Linked DNA regions of Oryzias latipes. The protein of the gene in region 1 purifies or fractionates together with the protein of each later gene. This does not show direct contact. Links are inferred from orthologs where the notes say so. Each region holds a gene or a part of one and is shown in the gene's direction. Other genes may lie near its edges.

Region 1 (4,714 bases):
GGGTCACAGATTTTTGCTTATAGCTTTCGTCATTCAGTCATGTCTTTTCCAGTTCATACAAACATGGAAAAATAGTGATTATTACAAACAACAAATATTAGACCCAAACTATTTGACAACAGCACCAAGAAGCACAACCGATGTAAACGAAATCACTAATGTCCTACCAGTCATCAGATATGGGTATATTTGAAAAGAAAAGCCTTACTCCAACTTGAGGATAAAAATGAAAAAATGAGATAATGATCTGCACTTCTCTTTAGGCTGATCCATGGGCTCCGGGTAAAAAATCCCAGACAGAAAGGAGAAAATGGGAAGGCAAAACGTTCTCTCATTTAGGCTGAAATTGTGGAGGAAATGTGGATCCTGCTTCTTGATGCTGCCCTCTCTGTGAAAGAAAAAGCTGAGTCACAAAAGGAGACCTCATCAGACAGCTGCTGTACCTGCCTGCAGGGGGAGGGAAAGCTCTGTGGATGGGGTGGGGTCCAAAAGAGAAACCCTGGTGACTGGAGGCAGGCGGCACATGGACCGGTCTTCATGAAAGGGCTTTTCTTTCTTTCCATGTCATGCTGACCATGAGTCTCTTTATGGTGATGCTTAAGATAATCGCATAGTTCAGTGTCTTTGTGGTCCTGCTTCAGCTTTTCCTGCTTGTTTTATGCAAAGTGGATGGATTTCACCTGGAGGACTCTCTGATTGAGAGATCCAGATCCAGGTTTTGTTGGATGCAAACGATGTTCTAGCTGACGGCTGAAGCCTCTCTGGGGACTGATGTCATTGCAGCACTGACAGCAATTAGCTCTAGACATCTGCTCTGCCTCTTCCTTTCCTCTCAATCAGTGTCCGTCACTATGGTGAAAAACTGAGAACACATGGGGGGAAATTTACAATTTTAGAAATAGCATTTCAATTTAGATTTAGGTATTTTGGCACCCATTTGGTTAGAAATTATCCTAAATATTATCATTATTGTTTGATGTTTTTACATTTGTTTCGACCCATGTGGAGAAAAGGCCGCTTCGATTTGGAGCCGGCTGTTTTTATTTTTTCTCATTTTATTTTCATTTACTTTTCTTAAACTGATTTTTTAAATCAACTTTCAATCAAGAAAAAATGGATGGAAATGTGACAAAGGGGAGTGAAAAAAGGAAGAAAACATGAGTAATGGGGAGAAGAAGAGAACAAAAGGAAAGCAGGGAAAAGAGAGAAGAGAAAGATAAAAATAAAAAAGACACAGAATGACAAAAAATTAAAAAAAAATGGGGAGAGGAAAAGAAAAAAACAGAATTAATTAAAAAGAAAAAAACTGTTTTTTGAAAAGTGCTGGAAGAAACTGAGAGGAAGGTGAGAAATTAAGAAAAAAAACAAAGGAATCAAAAAACAGGAATTAAAAGACGAGAAAATCTGAGAAATGGAAAAATGATAAGATGAGGTAATATAAAAAAGAAAACAGTCAAAGATAGAGGAATAAAAGAGGAGAGAATATAAGTCAGAACATTATTTATTACAATTGAAGAAAAGTAAACAAAAAAGGATGACGAGGGGAGAAAAGACGAATAACAAACGAAGAAAAACCCTGGAAGAAAAGGAGACAGAAGAGAAAAGTAAACACGCACAGCAGAGAAAGAATGGAAAAGAAGAAAACGAGAATGTGTATTTGTCAAAAAGACAAAGAGAAAACAGCCTTCAAACAGGAAATGACGAATCTTTTGGGAATTTGATTGGAAGATCGTCAGCGGAAGTGACGTTCTACGGCGGAAGTGACGTTCTACGGCGGAGCGGGAAACAGCGGCGCTTTGGGGCTGTGGAGCGGTTTTGGAAAGGGGTGTTTATAAAGGCAGAGTTGTCATTGAACGTTGGTGTTTGGTCCTTTCTCTGGACTTTCTGGTAAGATACTGTACGTGCAGCTGTATGAAGAAAAAAGTAGTCTTTTTTGTCAGCTAAAACAGCTCGCGCGCGCGGTTCGTGCTGCTTGCTAGCTTCGACCACAACAACAACAACTTGTGCAAAACGTGTTCAATCGGACGAGTGTAGCAGAGGCTGGGGGAGCATCATCGTTTGGAAAGCTAACGTTTCAGGAAGTCATCATTAAAACTGATACTGGAATTAAATGTATCTGTTTCAATCGTATTAGAAAATAGAGATCTTCACTGCTCGTAACATTATTTTGTTTATAAAGTTTTAATGCAAAATAGCCCTAAATAAGTTGACAATGAATTTGTCATTTTTTAAGTTGTATTTTAGTAGATTAAAAAAAAATATATTACTTGTAAACTAAATTAAGTAGTACTATTTATTTCATTAGAATCTTTCACCGACAGCTGTCACAAAGTGCCTTACAAAAGGAAAATCAGACATAATTTTTAAGCCTCCACTGAAAATGCTATTGTGTCCCTACTAGGGCTGCACGAAATGAGGAAAAACTTGCGATATGAGGGATTAATATTGCGATAACGATATAATTTGCGGTATATAAACAAATAGCGAAACAACCAAAAACATCATTCCCATTTTATTGCAACAGTTTAAGAATTGTACTCCAAATGACCCTCGTTGACATAGGAGGGAACATCTAACATAAAAGGGCTCCATCTGATTGGTCAACAACGCTAAAGGCTCTATCCGATTGGTCAAATGCATAAAGGGATTTATTTGATTCGTTAAATAATTTAAGCTGCCATAAGATTGTTTTAGCACATTTAAGGTAACCATTTATTGCATTTTTTGCTGTGTTTTGCGATATGCAGATTGCACAGCTTGATCTTGCGATAACGATAAATTTGCGGTATATTGTGCAGGCCTAGTCCCTACTGACCAAAAGGTTGCCTTGCCTTGTGCCCCTTTCTACTGTAAGCTCCTCATAGTCGTACGGCTCTGTCGTTGGTGTTTCTCTGGGTTCCTGGCTCATCCGTCCTTCTCTTGATCCAGAAGGAGCCATGCAGGCATTTCTCAAAGGAGCGGGTGTCGGTAAACCTCTGAAGGATAAAGGGCCGGCTGGGCCCAGCGCAGACAAGAAACCAAAGACTGTTCCTTGGGTTGAGAAATAGTAAGTCTTTGTTCTATAAATGAACCTAAAAGCTTCCGTACACTCACGCCGGGACTGACTGCAGTATCACTACACAAACATTAGTGTTGTGTTAACTCTGTAGTTTGTGTCATGTAACATGGAAAAACAGTTGTAGTCTGTTAGTGAATCCTCTTCATGATGGTTTGATGGACAGACTTTCAGCTCATTCTTTGTTTGTTTGATTATTTGGCAAAACAAAAACAAAAAGCAGCCATGTTAGGTTGGGTAATGTTTGGTTTCTTCCATCGTTTTTTCAAACAGTGGCTCAGTCTGATAGCAGTTCCTGTTGCACTTTTATTGATGACTGGATCTAGGATCATTTCAGCCACTGGCACAATGCATATGAATGTGGAAATCCGTGGGATAGATCAGGTTTTCTGACTGACAATAGCAAGTGAAATAAAAAAAACTGACAACTGCATGTTTTGGTTTTCTCAGGTTTCATTTCATACACTAAAGTGTTGTTGTAGAGATGTGTAACCGGCTGCATGTTCACTTGTGAAATAGCTGAAGCTACAATGGGTTCAATACTAAACTCTGAGTTGCTTTACTTCTTTGATTTTCTGTTTTCCAGCAGACCAAAATGCGTGGATGAGGTGGCCTTCCAGGAGGAGGTGGTGGCGGTGCTGAAGAAGTCCCTGGAAGGAGCAGATGTTAGTATCAGAGCTTGATTTCCACTGCAGAGATCAGAGTTTGGGATGGAAGTCTCACCTGCAGAGACCTGAACTTTGTGTCTTTTCTTTAAATCAACATCCTTTTTTCAGATGCAGCTAGTAAGACCTGGTATCTCGTGTTGTCAGATTATTGCAGCAAAGCAAGCATGAGTTTACTCCTCTTCAGTTAGATGAGAACTAACTTTTCAGGCGTTGGAAAAGCCGAGTATCTCACATGTGTGTCATTGTGATTGCAGCTTCCAAACCTGCTGTTCTACGGCCCGCCTGGAACAGGAAAGACTTCTACCATCTTAGCAGCTGCTAGAGAACTTTATGGGTGAGGAAACCACTTCTGACTTTTTAGAAGCTTCCTTTCTTGTCCTTCATTTCTTCCTCACATTCTCCTTCTAACATCCCACTTTCTCTTTTTATATCCCGCTTTAGGCCGGAGCTGTACCGGCAGAGGGTGCTGGAGCTGAACGCCTCGGATGAGCGAGGCATCCAGGTCGTCAGAGAGAAAGTGAAAACCTTTGCTCAGCTTACCGTGGCAGGAACCCGTCCAGAGTGAGCTCATTTCAAATCTAAAGCATTTGGACAGACCCCCACATGCACACACCCACACTGTTTTGATGAATCCAACAGATTAAATCAGTGACTTTGGTGGAAATCCGGGGTGCACATGTGTGCGCCGAACCGTGGCTAGTGATTCGTTGCACCCCTAGAATGAATGGCCATCAAATGTCATGATGGAACACACGTGTGCTACGGTTGGTTGTTGCACCAGGATAACCTCCAAATGTAAGCATCTCATTTTAACGATTTCTGTTGGATGAGTGCTGATGAATCACGGCGGTCAGACGGTAAGACCGTCTACAGATGCCTTTGTGTCAGGGAGGCCTTTGGTCCACATTTCAGTTGTCTTGATGGGAAGCGTCTGGGTTTTATCAGGTGCCAGTCCGTTACTTTTAAAAGGGTTCTGGTATTTAAGCGATGC
Region 2 (4,649 bases), on another chromosome or scaffold:
ACAATTTATTTTTATTGCATGATAATATTTGTATTCATTTGCGTGAATTTTAACCTTGCTATTTTAGTTTGTTGATATGCAAATATACTTTTAGTTTCAAAGCAATCTTTATAATTAAACAAACAAAGTGCTTTGAAACTAATCAGAGGCTAAAAAACAGACCAAAAAAATACTAACAGTAAAACTTGAATATGAGGATTAAACTACATTTCTTACAGCAGAAAAAAACCCGGAAATTTTACAACCTGCTGATCAATGACAAAGACTGTCACCTTGTAAATTGCAAAGTGAAATTAGTGCTTATGTACCAAAAACAGTCAAATTTGAACAGTAAAACAACAGCTAAAAATATTTACATTTTAAAGAACACAAATTTGGAATTAGAAAGTGTCATTTTGATAATCATTTAATCTATAGTAAAAGTGTTCCCAGTGATCTTTTAATTATGATTATGCTGTTTTTAGCCTAAATCAAAAAACCTGTGTTGTTTTTCTAGAACATAGTTTCTGCAGACCACCAGTAGTTTTTCAGAAATTCACCTCTGAGTTGTGGACAGAACTGATGAAGTCTTCCCTCATTTCCAGTCATCCATTTGTTACATGCTCTCCCACTAGCTTACAGCCCCTCGCAACCCAACCTAACGTCAGGTTGCAACAACAATGGCAGGCAATATTGGAGCTATCCAGCAGTACAGTTTTAAGCCAGATGCCAGCTCAGACGAGGAAAAGAAAGACGTACACAGATCTAGCCGTCTACAGGTTCATGCGTCAGAATGGAGCAGAGCAGGAAGCTTGTGGCCAGACAACTGTAGCATCAGAGCTACAAGCTTTTTTAGACTGGATTTCTTTTCTATTCCTGATTCACAACTTTGAATAAAGAAATACTCAGAACTGAATTTTCTTTATATATGTCCTCCATCATTAGAAAATTCATTCATCTTCCTCTGTTTATCCCTTTTGGAGTCACGGGGCTGCTGTAGCCTATCCCGGCCACTTATGGGCGAAGGCAGGGGACTCCCTGGACAGGTCGCCAGTCTGTCGCTGGGTCACACATTTCACACACCCACATTCACACCTATGGACAATTTAGAGTGACCTATGAAGCATGTTTTTGGATGGTGGGTGGAAGCTGGAGTCACCGGAGAAAACCCACACATGCACGGGGAGAACATGCAAACTCCACACAGAAAGGTCCCCCATTGATGTTCTGTTTCAGGTCCCCCAGCCGGACTTGAACCAGGGGCCTTCTTGCTGTGAGGCAAGAGCGCTAAACACTACACCACAGTGCAGCCCATCATCATTGGAAAATGCTTAAAGAAAATTTTAAAAACACATAAAAGAAAAGCATGCTTTTCAATGGAGTGGGTCTTTGATAAGAAAAGTTGGGAGATAAAATTCAATAATTCTGCTGCCATGCACAGTGGTGGAAGTGTAGTCATGAGGTGACTAAGTACCAACATTCCAAAGAGAGTTCATAATAAAAGACCAAAGCTGCAAAGGAAATTTCCATTGAAACTGGTATTAAATTTCAACATTAACTGTAGTTTGTCCCGTTTTGTTGCTGAGGCCCAAATTAAGCTGTCATTTAAAAAAGGAAACTTTTTTTCTCTTTTTTAGCAAATAAGTGGACAATATTTCTCTGCAATAATGTATAATGTGTTTGTAAGATAAGTATAGATGTTTTCTTGTGTGACAGTAGCAGATGGCAGGTTTACCAGAAGAGGGAAAAAACCCGCTGCGCCATTTATTCAGTGATTACGGTAGGAGAGAGGCCGTCCTCCTCCCCTCCCCACTCAACCGCCGTTTCAGCGCAGCTCTCCGCCGGCGAAGACTTCTCGGACAGCGGGTGCTATTTTGGCGCAGTTTCCTGTCTATAGGCGTTCAGTTATTTATTTATCGTCGATTTTTTAAAAACTGTTTGTACTCTTGCATTCAAAATGAGCACAATTAACGTGAAAAAGCTGAAAGTGAACGAGCTGAAAGACGAGCTGAAGAAGCGTAATCTGTCGGACAAGGGGCTGAAGGCCGAGCTGATGGACCGCCTGCAGGCCGCGCTCGACGAGGAGGCCCTGGTCGGGGATTCTTCTGCGGCCCAGGAGGGATCGGAGGAGGAAACCCTCGAACAGGCCGCCGAACAGGAGGTGATGGGAGAGGAAGAGGAAGGCGACGGCCCGATAGAAGAGAGCATGGAGGCTAATGAGGAAGAACAGGATAATGATAATGGGGACGAGGGCAATGGCGTAGCGGATGACGAAGACATGGGTGAGGGGGAAGAAGGCGACGAAGACGACGAGATGCTGAAGGGAGATGTGGACGACATGGAAAAAATTGACACGGAGGATGGTGAGCCCGGGGAGCAAGCTGCTGAGGGTGAGTCTGGTGAAGTGATGCTGAAAAGGTGGCTGGCTGAATGGACTGTGGCTGGCTGTTTTTTTTTTTCGGGGGCTGGTTGCGAAGATTTTAGCGCGTTACCAAGGAGCGTCCATGTTGAACACGGCGGCGTGATTCAAGCTAGTTAGCATTAGCAGCTAGCATCGGTCACCTCCTCTTAGTTAATCGTTTTGTAACTCTAATTACGCGTTACCATATTCTCTCAGGCACGTTTTAAAGAGTCGTTTCAAAAACACAATTTAAAGTTTAGTAATAGTTTTAATTAAATTTATATGCCGAGAACCGTCCTTTTTGGTTGACCTTTAAGCTTTTTCTTTCGATTTTGTAAGGTGTGTTAGCTTGTCAGCTAGCGCGATTTCCTTTGTTTCTGGTGTAGTGCTAACAAGCTAATTTAGCAGGGTTAGCCATTTCAGATTTTCCCTTCCTGTTAAGACATAAAGGGGGAATTTGCAAGCCACAAATCTTGTATCTTACTGTCATTTGTACAATCTCACTGGAATTACTTTTGAAACATTTCATTTCCCAGTCTGCACAAATAAAATAAACAGGAGAATATCTGCGATGGCTAACCCCAAATTTAAATAGTGGTAGCTCAGCTGGTTCTGCTGCTTTTGTTTAGCTAGTTTTTTTTGTCGTGGTTTTTCTGTTTAATAAAGGTTCCAAAATCATACAGTGTAACAAATGGGGAGGTAGTTTAAAACCATATCTAAATAGCCTTACTTGCATGATTTATTTATCCCCCTTAAACAGTAAACTTTCCCTTATAAGTTAATCAAACCCCATTGACAATGGTGTATTTTTCAGACTTTTATTTCGCCCCCACAAAGCATCACTCATTTATTTTATAATTTTTGGCCAGTTTATTGTTTAACTACCTGGTCTTAAAAGCTGTCATAACCATTTGATTGTACTGTATTTTCAGTGTAAGTATAGTGCTGCCTCTTTGAACATTCATATGAATTATGATGGACACAATGTAACTAATGAACGGGCTTTGTGGGCCAGAACCCCACTGCTAGTCCGACCTCTCTCTCTGTCTCAAAAAGGAGCACCTCATTCTATATCTTTGTTCTATTTTCAAAGGGGATGCGGACAAAGACACGAATGCTGATCAGAAGAATAAGAAGGGTGTTAAGAGACGCCGGGAGGAACATGGAAGGGGCTACTTTGAATTTATTGAAGAGAACAAATACAGCTGGTAAGGATGGGACAGAGCAAAATGGCCTTCAGCATCCCTGAAGCGCCATCCATAGCTTTGTTGGATTGTATTGGCTTTAAGTGCCAATGCACACATTTCTAGCAAGAGGAAAACCCTCTGTTTTTTTGTTTAAAATAAAAAGTATTCTCTTATTTAATAACTTTCACACATGTGTTTTCAGGGTCATCCCTGACTACCTAAAGAGCCTTACCATTTACTCTACAATGCCCACTCACATAGCGTCTTTAATGGACTGCATTCTGTAGCAGAAGTGCATCTGTGACTTTTCACATCTGTTCCTCATGCCACTTATTGTTTTGTTTCTTTTGGAAAAGCCCGTTGTGTCCTTAAGGTGAATGGAGGCTACTCTAAGCAAAACCCACAGAGGGAAATAGCAGGTGTACACTTTTTCAAAAGGAGGGGTGGGTTGAGGAAAGTAGCCGAGGGGTCTGAAAGAAAGTAGCACACAAGGATTTAGGAGATTTAAAGAAAAAAATCAAGATTATTGGAGCGTCCACGGAGGAGCTTCGGTAGTGATCGTCCATGTTTTTTCGGAGTGTTCTGCCTTTTTGTTGTTGTTTTCTCTCTATCACACTCTTGTTGCTGTTTCTGTATCATGTTTGTGTAAAATGTCATGTTGTGTGCGTTTGGAAGAGTTTTTATACCCCGCGTTCTGTGACCTCATGCATGGCTTGCAAGGGAGTTCCAGTGTGAGTGTGAACATGAACTTACTTTTTTTGGTCACGTGTGTTGTTTTCATTGCACTACCTGGACGCTGAAGATCGATGGGCACAGCATCAAAAATGTTGGCTGTTTTATTTATTTTTAAATTGTGATCACTTATTTCTGGTTGTGTTAATCCAGGAAAGTCACTTCCTGCTTCTCCAAATTGTCCACTTGACGTTTTTAGGGATTTATCAGTTTAATCTTTGCCCATATTTTCCCTTCTAAACAACATAACCTGCTTTCAAAATAATCTAAAATAATTTTTAAGCTTTAAGGACCTTTGTGGTAAAAGTGGGTTTACATCAGGCCTTTGTGTTAAAGTCCCACTCTGATCA
Region 3 (4,555 bases), on another chromosome or scaffold:
TCTATGTGAGCGAAAGGACCACTGTGGTGGAGTCAGCCAGTGAATAAATGTTCAGATTCTGCTATGACCAATAAAATAACCTTTTTCCAGCTCGATTGATCTCTTGTTGTCTGTGTAATTGTTCTTTGCTTGATTAGAGAAAGCTGTGCATTTAAGGTTTAAGTCATCAAGAAGGTTTTAGCAGAAAACTGGACTCGGCTTTGATCCAAAGTTCCTAAAGACATAAAATGAGAGTATTGAGAAACTCATCAGTGTGACAGTATAAAAGAAGCAGGTGAGGGATTATTTATCAAAATATAAGGACAGCTTTAAATTGAATGATTTTCACAAAAACTTTGGGGGAAAACTGGTTTCCGTCATGCATCATTTACATGGATCAAGTCATTTTAAACATTTTCTGTCTTATTTTACATTAACCTTTGGTTATAAGATGGAGTTGTCTTTGTAAATGTTGGACAGACGGAAATGTGACAAATACATTTTATGGTTAAAATAAATTGTCCAGCTTTCTGTTTTGTGATCTCGACTGTCATCCACTGAAGCAAAGTGGAGCAGTTCCATCATCTGCCCATTTTAGTCCTAATTTAAGGCTGTTTATCTGAAAGTAGCTGAGCTCCGTTTGTTGCCGACATCTAATGAAAGCTTTATTAAAGACAACAGTTGTGATCTGAACTAAAATGTGGTAAAGTTTGGTCAGAGGTATAAAATTAGTCACACATACTGAAGGAATTGTTGAATGTTTTTTGTAAAAGTGTTCAAATTGGCCTTTATCTTTCAAAAAAAAAAAATTATCTGACAATCCTCTGTAAACAGCTAAAAATGTCTTCAATTTAGAGGCCAGCCATGTCAATGAATTGTTTATCTTGCCTCCTAATATTCTGGACATAATTTTTCTATTGTACCGTTTTCAAACTTTATATTTATTCTAGTGTAAAGCTGAATTATAAATACACAATAGAAAGTATACGCAGGCTTATTTGTGAGGAGAGATTTGTATTGACTGGACTGAAAATAAAAGTGAGAAACTGTTTATGAGGCACTTTAAAAGAAAGGGAAAACAAGCTTTACTACACATGAAAATGTCAAAAGCATTTTTACTTTTTTTAAATAAATCTTTAAAGTTAACTTGGTGCAGATCATTTATCAACTAAGATGTAGCTAGAAAACCACTTAAATTATCTTTTTAGCGGCAGAAAGACGTTTATATTCAAATGAGAAGTTTTGTCTAAAATGATTTTAAATGTATGTGTGATGAATTTCTCAAGACGCTGGTTGGATGACGCAGTGACGCAGCCAGCATCCGGTGCGTCATCTCCTAGCGACTGCAGACTTGGCGCCAAGTAGTTGGGAGTTTTTATTATTTTGCTGATAACAAACTGTGAGGTTTCCTTGTGGAATTATCTCCAACATGGTATGTTACACACCGTTATGGTTTCCACCTCACACAGAAAGCGAACGCATGTGAGCAAAGTCTGACATTGAGGAGAAACTGGATGCTAAGCAGATGTTGTCGCGCGCTTCTGCTGTGGGTTAGCTAAAACAGTTTTAAGACAATTGACTTGTTGACCTACATTTTTTATTTTAATATAGGAACAGGTTATTGCACAGCAGCTATAATTTACCGGATGTTTTAATAATTAAATCCGCACATTTGTAGTTTAAATTTAATTAATCCTTGAAGAGATGCAGGGATTTTTTTTTTGCACACTGAAGTACAGATTATTGATTTGTTAAAATAGCCTCAAAGTTCCTTTGCTTCTGCATTCAGGATATAAGGCGGTTCTTTGGACCGACATCAGGGAAACCTGCGGTGCAGAAACCAGCGCCAAACACCAAAGCAGAGGAGAAGAAGAACCTCAACTCCTCTGATGTGAAAAGAACCAAGGTTGATACTCTTGTGTTTTCATTTTTACTTCTACACTAAGTGCTGTTCCTGCACATGTTTGGGATTTTGAGCTTCTCTTGTGTTATCTCATGTAGGTCAAAAGCTCCAAAACAGAGGAGCGACGCAAAGACAGTGAGAAAAAGCGCAAGAAGTATTCTGTCATAGCATCAGGTAGGAAAGACTCTGGATGACCTAATGGGCGTGGCTTAAAGTCACGAGATGACCTCTGTGATTTAACAGCACTGGATGGGGGGCCAACTCCAGGTCTCCCTGTGCTGGTCCCCAGCCCGGATAAAATACAGGGTTGTGTCAGGAAGGGCATCCGGCCTAAAAAAAAGTCTCTGCCAAACCAAATGTGTGACTCAGTGAAAGCTGATTCGCAGCAGCGACCTCTGACAGGATGTGTCAAAAGGTGAACAACGAGTGTAATATGTCTTTGAGTGGTGCAGTGTCTCTCAGCATCACTATATAATAATGTCAAAGAAAAAGTGAGAGGCTGGCTGAGAGGTTCATATGTGATGCAGGAAGCATCAAGCAGAAATAAACATACATAGTTATACCAAACCTACCTACCAAACCACAAGTTCATTAGAAAATAAAAGAAGATTATGCTATTGTCTTGACATTATAATTACTCCTAATCATAAATAAACATAGTTGCACGTATGCATACAGTATGACACACATGACACATTAAATAGGATTATTAAATAATAGTTTAAAATAGCTTTAAAGGCAGAATTTATACAATCACAGCCCTATTATGATTTACTTACCTTTAAAGAAGGTATGAAGTTCCTTCATAAAATCAACATTTTATTTTAGTGTCAAAGGAAATTGTGAATCCTTGACTTAAAACAGCTAAAAGGTAAATATTATTTCAGATCCTATTTTTAAAAAGCTTGAAGGATAAATTCTTGTTGTTTTGTTCAGATTCAGAAGAAGAGGAGAAACCTGCAACAAAGTCTAAGAAATCTTCTAAATCGACGAGCAGCAAAGCAGAGCCTCTTCCTAAAAAAGACCCAGTGCAGTACGTCTCTGAAACAGGTGAGGCCTTTCTTCATCCAACGTCCTCCAGATTCAATAAGCTAAAAAGCCGATTTTCTGACGTCTGTTTTTGTGCTTTTAGACTCGGACAGCGACAACTTTCAGTCGCTGAAGAAAGGAGCCAAACCCAAACAGAACGGTTCTCCTAAAAGCAATAAGGCGGACGCAGAACGTTCTCGCTCAGGATCCAAAGCCTCTCCTGTCACAGGAAAATCTGGGCTAAAGAGTCCCACAACCCCCAAGTCTGTTGCACCACCTCCACCCAAACTAACTCCTACCTCAGTGGCGGATTATTTCGGCGGTGCTGCTATTCATCGCTCAGAAAAGAAGCTGGTAGCCAGCGCCAAGAGAAAAGCTGTGAGTGCTGATGAATCCTCCTCATTCTTCTCCTCCAGCTTTCAGGACTCTCATTTGTTTTACAACAATCCAGCTTCACTATAACTCCTGTCTTCCAGCCAACACAAGACTTTGAGGATCTGATAAGTGATGAGGAAATCGCCCGACAGTTGCAGGTGGAAGAAGAGATGGAGGTGAGCAGATCATCAAACACTCCGGCGTAAAAACAGAAGCAGAAGTTAGTGATTCAGGAATCTGTACACTAAGTTTACTCCTAGAGTTCACTCTAAAGAAAGTGCTCGGATCAAAACACAGACTTCCTCTAGGTTTGAAACTCTATCTTTTCGATTTCCAACACTTCCAATCAAGCTTTATTTATAAAATCCTTTTCATACAAAAGCAGCTGAAAAGGCTCCAAACATCAAATGTGAAACGTCATAGAGCTTCACTCCAAATGATACCACGGGTATAGACTCCAGGCCTCATTAACCAGTGTCCTACTTGTTTTTTCATCCAAGCTGCCGTTGTAGCTTTTAATTGGCAAAACAAACCTGATTCAGGTAACCATGGCAACAGGCATTTCAGGGTTTCTGAACAACAGGTTGCCGGCCCTCGAGGGCTCGAGTCCAACACCTCAGGTGTAGAAGATCCCAATGAGGAAAAGGACTGGAATAAAAAAAAGTGTAAGAAAACAGAACAAATGGAACAGAAAAATGAATAGAAAACATAAATAGCGACTCTGACAAAGACAGAAGACATCTGTCGAAACATGTAAGTTATGTGAAAAAATACAACCGTGTCTGATAGTAGAACATCAACTTTGGTAGAATATAGGGATAGAATTTTAAAAATTGCACAAAAATTGTCAAATTTGAATTGAAAAAAATGTAATTTAAAATAATAGAAGTAAAAAAATAAAAAAAAATTAAAAATTTTAGCTATACGTATGTTTATGTTATTATTAAGATTGTCATTTGTTCTCGGTGTATAAATGCTGAACTGGATCGCTACACTTCTTCTCGACGTAACTTATTCATTTTTTTTTTTCCACTTGTTCTTCATTTAGCTGGAAAAACAAGTCCATGAGGATGAGGAGTTTGCCAGGACGCTCGCCTTGATGGACTCGGAGCCGCAGGCCAAGAAGGTACTGAGAACAATCCCAGAGGAACATCTTCACTTTAGTGGAATCCTTTAATGAGCATTTAAAACTTTTTTTCATTTAGGCTCGTAAAAACGCGGATGAAAAACAAAGCACAACTCCCAAAAAGAGTGTTGGCGATGCTGCTG
Region 4 (4,708 bases), on another chromosome or scaffold:
TGATCCAGAATCGATCTAATATTATTATATATGTTTCTTTTTTATATAAAGGCAGATTGAAATTCATCTTTTACTTTGTCTAGAAGCCTTTTTATCCTGTTCACATACACCAGTGCCAATAGTTTATAATCATTACACAGCAGTGTGATGGGCCTCCTATTATCTAATTTTGTCAAGTTCTTATTTGGTTCAGGGAGTAAGTTTTCATAGATGGAGTTAGACAACCTTCCTGGATACAATCATTGAAAGCATTAATCATTAATCGTTTATTTGTTTTGTAGCACTAATACAATATGTTTGCTGCCATCATGGGACCCAATAGAACGTGGCAAACGCTGACGTCACATCTGTGTCATGATTTGATTGGCTGGGTTTCCCTATCTTCTTATTTTTTCTTAAACTTTATTTTTCAAAACAAATAGAACAAATATCTATGACAAGAACAATAGTCATAACAACAGGAATGCCAGGGGAGGGTACATGTGCTACAAAAGAAATATTACAGAAACAGATTGCTATGCATTAAAAATGTTCAAAGACAGACAGTTTTCATAAATATGTATGGCTTTTTTTAAGCTATTAGAAATAGCATGTAGATAAGATTCTAATTCTTTAATTATTACAGGGGGTAAAAGTTGTGATAAGGAAAACTTTGATTTGTGAATATGAAATTTACCAAATATAAGTAGATTAATTGCCAATTTTACATTTGATCTTGTGTTTTTTTCGTGTAGGCCAAATATGATATGTTCAAATTTCATCTGATATTGTGAATCTAATTTGTAATTTAAAAAACGTGCACACTCTTTCCAAAGTTTTTTATTACAGTTCCAAAATAGGTGACTGATTGTTTCTGGGTGTTCTTAACAAAAGGTAGAGTTGGGGTCAATATAGTCTTCTTATATCTGAGCATGTATTGATTAGTGGGATAGATTCTATGTAGGAGTTTGTAGGAGACGTCTCTCATGTTGTTATTTATTAATAATTTCTGATGCAGGGTCCAAACATTTTTCCAGGGCAAGTCAGGAATAAATTTTCTCCATTAAAAAACAGCAGAGGGAACAGAAAAAACATTTTGCTGAAACAGGACACGTATGATCTTGTTATTTTTTTCGGGCACAGTTGAAACAAGATTTTCCAATAGTGGTGTCACTTAGAGATATGAAGGAAATATTTGCATCAAGTACAGTATTTTTAAAGAGTTCACAGATTTCAGTGGTAACGGCGTCAAAAAAAATGGCATGCTCTCTTGGAGGAACAGCAAGGTTATATTTAAGGTTAAATTCATCATGACCCACCAGTAGGATATTATTGGTATCTTCTTATTGACTAATTATTTTAGTGAGCAAAGTTTTTTTCCATCGATTTTTTACAACGAATTTCTAGGACATTGAAATGTTGTGCCTCGAAATTAAAAATATTGAAACATTTGAGAGAGAAAATAACAGGGCATAACATTTTGCTGTTTGAAAATCAAGGGTTAAAAAAAAATTCAGAGGTTTAAAAAATTCCGAATCTGATGGAGCAGAAAAACCCATATGAACATTGCGACAGTGTTGTCTTTAGAGGGCGCTCTAAATGTTTCAGTATCAGTAAATTGCAAGTCCGCACGCCATCTTTGTTTGGGGTAAACTACGTCACAATATGACGAAATCGATCTCCGTCTTGTGATTGGTGGACGAGTGTCCTGTCAAAGGTCACATTTATTTGGCGCTTTTCACTCTCGGTCAGTCTGGCGCGTTTTTGAATGGACTGTTTATGTCAAGAGAATATATATACACATATTTTTTTCTAATTGGGGCGCTTACTATTTTATAGACCGTGAGTAGAACACGGTGGCCTTTTGCTTCTCATAAGGCGGTAAAATATTTGAAGCTTTCGCGGGAACTATGAAACTATTATTCGCCGAAATCTGCTAGCTTGTTGTTTTACAGTGAAACCGATGACAATGGTGGAGTGGTCTTGGAGCAGAACAATATAAAGAAGCTTAAACAACCTCACAGGTAAAACAAGTGGCGGATTCGACATCAATGAATGGGCTAGTATTGCTAGCATTTATTTACAATGTTTCAGTTTTGGGCATATTATGTTACTGATGATATATTTTCAAAAATATATTTTTTATGAACGTCCAAAAACCCCACCTTACAATTCTGTGAAACATGATAAACGGTTGCTAAAAAAATGAAACCTAACAATGGGCCAAAATTTTGCCTAAACAGATAAGTTTAAGCATTAGCTTCCTTTTTACTGTATGTCCAAGTCAAGTGACACTTTTAGGCTAAGGCTTGCCTGTTTCTACTAGGGAAAAACGTCCAAAAGATTTGATTTAAATTAAAAATAAAAAAACAGCAGTTTTTTTTTTTGTATCTTTGTATGTGTATATTTGCTCTAATTCAGTTTTTATGTTTTGCTTTGCTTCAGGTCCTGTCAGATTATGGCTGGTGTTGTGGCTATGGCCTCTGTCATTGAGGACTTTGACACCCAGGTAGAGAAACAACAGCAAGCTGGTTTTTCTTTCCATAAACTCTTAGTCATACGTCAGCGGGTGTCCTGTGAATCCATGTTATGTATTTTATGTATGTAGTTGATTCATGGAGGCACGTCTGTCTCACATGTTCTTAACATCTGTCAAATTGTTTATTTTGTTTTTGCTTTGAATTTTAAATAATTATTTTTATGAACTCTGTCATGCTTGGCCCTAAGTTATGCAGTTATATTTCATATAAATCTAAAACTATTGTTGAGACCTGTGCATTAAGGCTATGATAGGCAGTTGTGGTGTTTAGGCTGTTTTGTTGTGTTTGTTTCCACTGAAATCTATACCGTAAAAAAATAATCACTTTGTCTTTCCTTCAACAGCCTGGCAAGAAGTCTCGCAAAGATAGTGGTGGTCCTGCTGCCAAGCCAATCACAAACTATTTCTCTCCTGTGCCTAAGCCGGTGGAGAAACCCTTTTCTCCTCCTCACTCCAATAATATTATGAGCTATTTTTGTCGAAAAGCTTCCTCGTCTAAAGAACAGACATGCCCGCCCGAGCCGTCTTTAGAAAAGTGTCAGGAGTCTCAAGAGGAGGAAAAACAAAGAAAGTCAGAAGGAAAGAGAGCGCCGTCTCAGAAACGTGGTAAAAAGAGTGGGAGAGGTGCCAGGCAGCTCGTACCCGCTGAAAGTATCGGTGATGTGGACTGCATGATAGTTGAAGAAGCCCCTGAAAACACAGACTCTGCAGCAGATCTACAGTCTACTGTTGATTCGTCAGAAAGCGATCAACCTCAGAAAAAGGATATAAAGTCTGAATCAGCACTTCAAACTTCTGAATTGACTCCAAGAAATGAATCAAAATCTACTAAAGCTTCACAAAAACAAAGGAAGAAGAAGCAAAATCCTTCCGAGCCAGAGAAAGAAGCAGAGTGTGATGTTAGTTTGAAGGCCAGTGATGAAGAGGCCGCATGTATTAAAGACAGCACGGTCAAAATCTCATTCGAGGAGTTTCTGCGCAGTCAAAGCAAGAATGAAGACAACAAAAGCGATGATGAAGGCATTAAAACGATGTCAGAAGAGAAGACAAAGGCTGAGCAGTTGGATATCCCCACAGCTGAACAACACGTAGATTTGTTGGCGTCTCCTCTGCAGATCTCGCCTCGAACTGTCACCATACAAGCAGAAGTGCACGCAATCTCACCCGACAGGGAAGACGTCAAAAGAGTTGGAAAACTGGCTTCAATCTTCAACCAGAAACGAAGCTCTAATAGTCCCGTAGAGACCAGCACATCTCCCCACACTGATTCAGGACCCAAGCTTTCTTCTCCCACCGTGAAGCGGAAATCCAACGTGGTTCTTCAGGAGGAAGATCTCGAGCTCTCTGTGCTTGAAAGCGAATCCGCTCCAAAGTGCAGTGAAGCGGAGAGAAAACAGTTCATGGCAGCTTTCAAGCAGCCCGGCGTGGATGGGCCCAAAAGTAAACCTGTCAGGAGCCAAGGTAAACAGAAAGAAGCCGCAGAGAAAACGCCGAATGCTGCAGGCAAAACGGCTGATGGTGAGGATCTGATCATGCAGCCTACGGTCGAGGAAACCCAACGAGAGAAGAAAGAAGCCACAAAGAAACGGCCGAAAAAGGGAAGGATTGAAGCTACAGAGAAAAACGAGGCGGCCAATACTTTGCCTGCAGGTCCAGATGTGACAGACGCCGCAGCTGCTCCACCTGTGCCAGTCACGAGGAGATCCAAACGAGAGGCCGTCATTCGACAAACGTCTCAGAGCACGCCAACGACTCCTGTCAGAAAAACAAGGAGACAACAGGCGTCTAATGAGGCCGTGACTCCTTCCATATCACAGGAAAGCCCTCTAAAGCTGGTGCCTTCCAAGACACGCAAGTCCAAGTACTGTGTGTTTGTGGCAGAGATCATAAGCTCACCAGATACCAAGCAAAGTCCAATCAGGTGATGCATCCATTTAAACTGTCCTTAAGTAAAGGTGCTTTTGGGCATTTTTTTTTCTGTTCACACTTGCAGTATTTGCATCCCCCTAATTTTGTTTTTCTTTTCTCCTAAAAAAAAAAAAGAATTAAATTTAGTAGAGTTAATAAAAATAGATCTGCGGCAGAGGATGACGGGGAAGTGGACAAAGCCTCCTCTCAAAAATCTAGAGTAAGTTTGTGGAATCCCAGTTCAATTTGTTTAAATGTAGCTTAAAGGTAATACAGTTCTGG

The links.
Region 2: the proteins of rfc4 (region 1) and hnrnpu fractionate together in Homo sapiens (co-fractionation; 3 studies listed by BioGRID and IntAct, with this or other methods). This does not show direct contact. The link is inferred for Oryzias latipes from reciprocal best matches to the Homo sapiens genes RFC4 and HNRNPU.
Region 3: the proteins of rfc4 (region 1) and rfc1 fractionate together in Homo sapiens (co-fractionation; 7 studies listed by BioGRID and IntAct, counting the BioPlex papers as one, with this or other methods). This does not show direct contact. The link is inferred for Oryzias latipes from reciprocal best matches to the Homo sapiens genes RFC4 and RFC1.
Region 4: the proteins of rfc4 (region 1) and ATPase family AAA domain-containing protein 5 purify together in Homo sapiens (affinity purification with mass spectrometry; 5 studies listed by BioGRID and IntAct, counting the BioPlex papers as one, with this or other methods). This does not show direct contact. The link is inferred for Oryzias latipes from reciprocal best matches to the Homo sapiens genes RFC4 and ATAD5.

What each region holds. Positions count from the first base shown.
Region 1 is NC_019862.2:1,765,490-1,770,203, reverse strand, and holds the start of rfc4 (replication factor C subunit 4), read left to right. Parts: upstream 1-1,751; 5' UTR 1,752-1,897; intron 1,898-2,928; 5' UTR 2,929-2,936; coding exon 2,937-3,046; intron 3,047-3,641; coding exon 3,642-3,720; intron 3,721-3,977; coding exon 3,978-4,057; intron 4,058-4,164; coding exon 4,165-4,284; intron 4,285-4,714. UniProt on the Homo sapiens protein: Subunit of the replication factor C (RFC) complex which acts during elongation of primed DNA templates by DNA polymerases delta and epsilon, and is necessary for ATP-dependent loading of proliferating cell nuclear antigen (PCNA) onto primed DNA.
Region 2 is NC_019882.2:13,245,004-13,249,652, reverse strand, and holds the start of hnrnpu (heterogeneous nuclear ribonucleoprotein U), read left to right. Parts: upstream 1-1,774; 5' UTR 1,775-1,936; coding exon 1,937-2,369; intron 2,370-3,473; coding exon 3,474-3,588; intron 3,589-4,649. UniProt on the Homo sapiens protein: DNA- and RNA-binding protein involved in several cellular processes such as nuclear chromatin organization, telomere-length regulation, transcription, mRNA alternative splicing and stability, Xist-mediated transcriptional silencing and mitotic cell progression.
Region 3 is NC_019859.2:13,023,222-13,027,776, reverse strand, and holds the start of rfc1 (replication factor C subunit 1), read left to right. Parts: upstream 1-1,281; 5' UTR 1,282-1,408; coding exon 1,409-1,411; intron 1,412-1,768; coding exon 1,769-1,885; intron 1,886-1,980; coding exon 1,981-2,056; intron 2,057-2,818; coding exon 2,819-2,932; intron 2,933-3,014; coding exon 3,015-3,289; intron 3,290-3,387; coding exon 3,388-3,462; intron 3,463-4,334; coding exon 4,335-4,412; intron 4,413-4,491; coding exon 4,492-4,555. UniProt on the Homo sapiens protein: Subunit of the replication factor C (RFC) complex which acts during elongation of primed DNA templates by DNA polymerases delta and epsilon, and is necessary for ATP-dependent loading of proliferating cell nuclear antigen (PCNA) onto primed DNA.
Region 4 is NC_019866.2:13,220,914-13,225,621, reverse strand, and holds the start of ATPase family AAA domain-containing protein 5, read left to right. Parts: upstream 1-1,691; 5' UTR 1,692-2,003; intron 2,004-2,424; 5' UTR 2,425-2,437; coding exon 2,438-2,488; intron 2,489-2,862; coding exon 2,863-4,439; intron 4,440-4,561; coding exon 4,562-4,646; intron 4,647-4,708. UniProt on the Homo sapiens protein: Has an important role in DNA replication and in maintaining genome integrity during replication stress.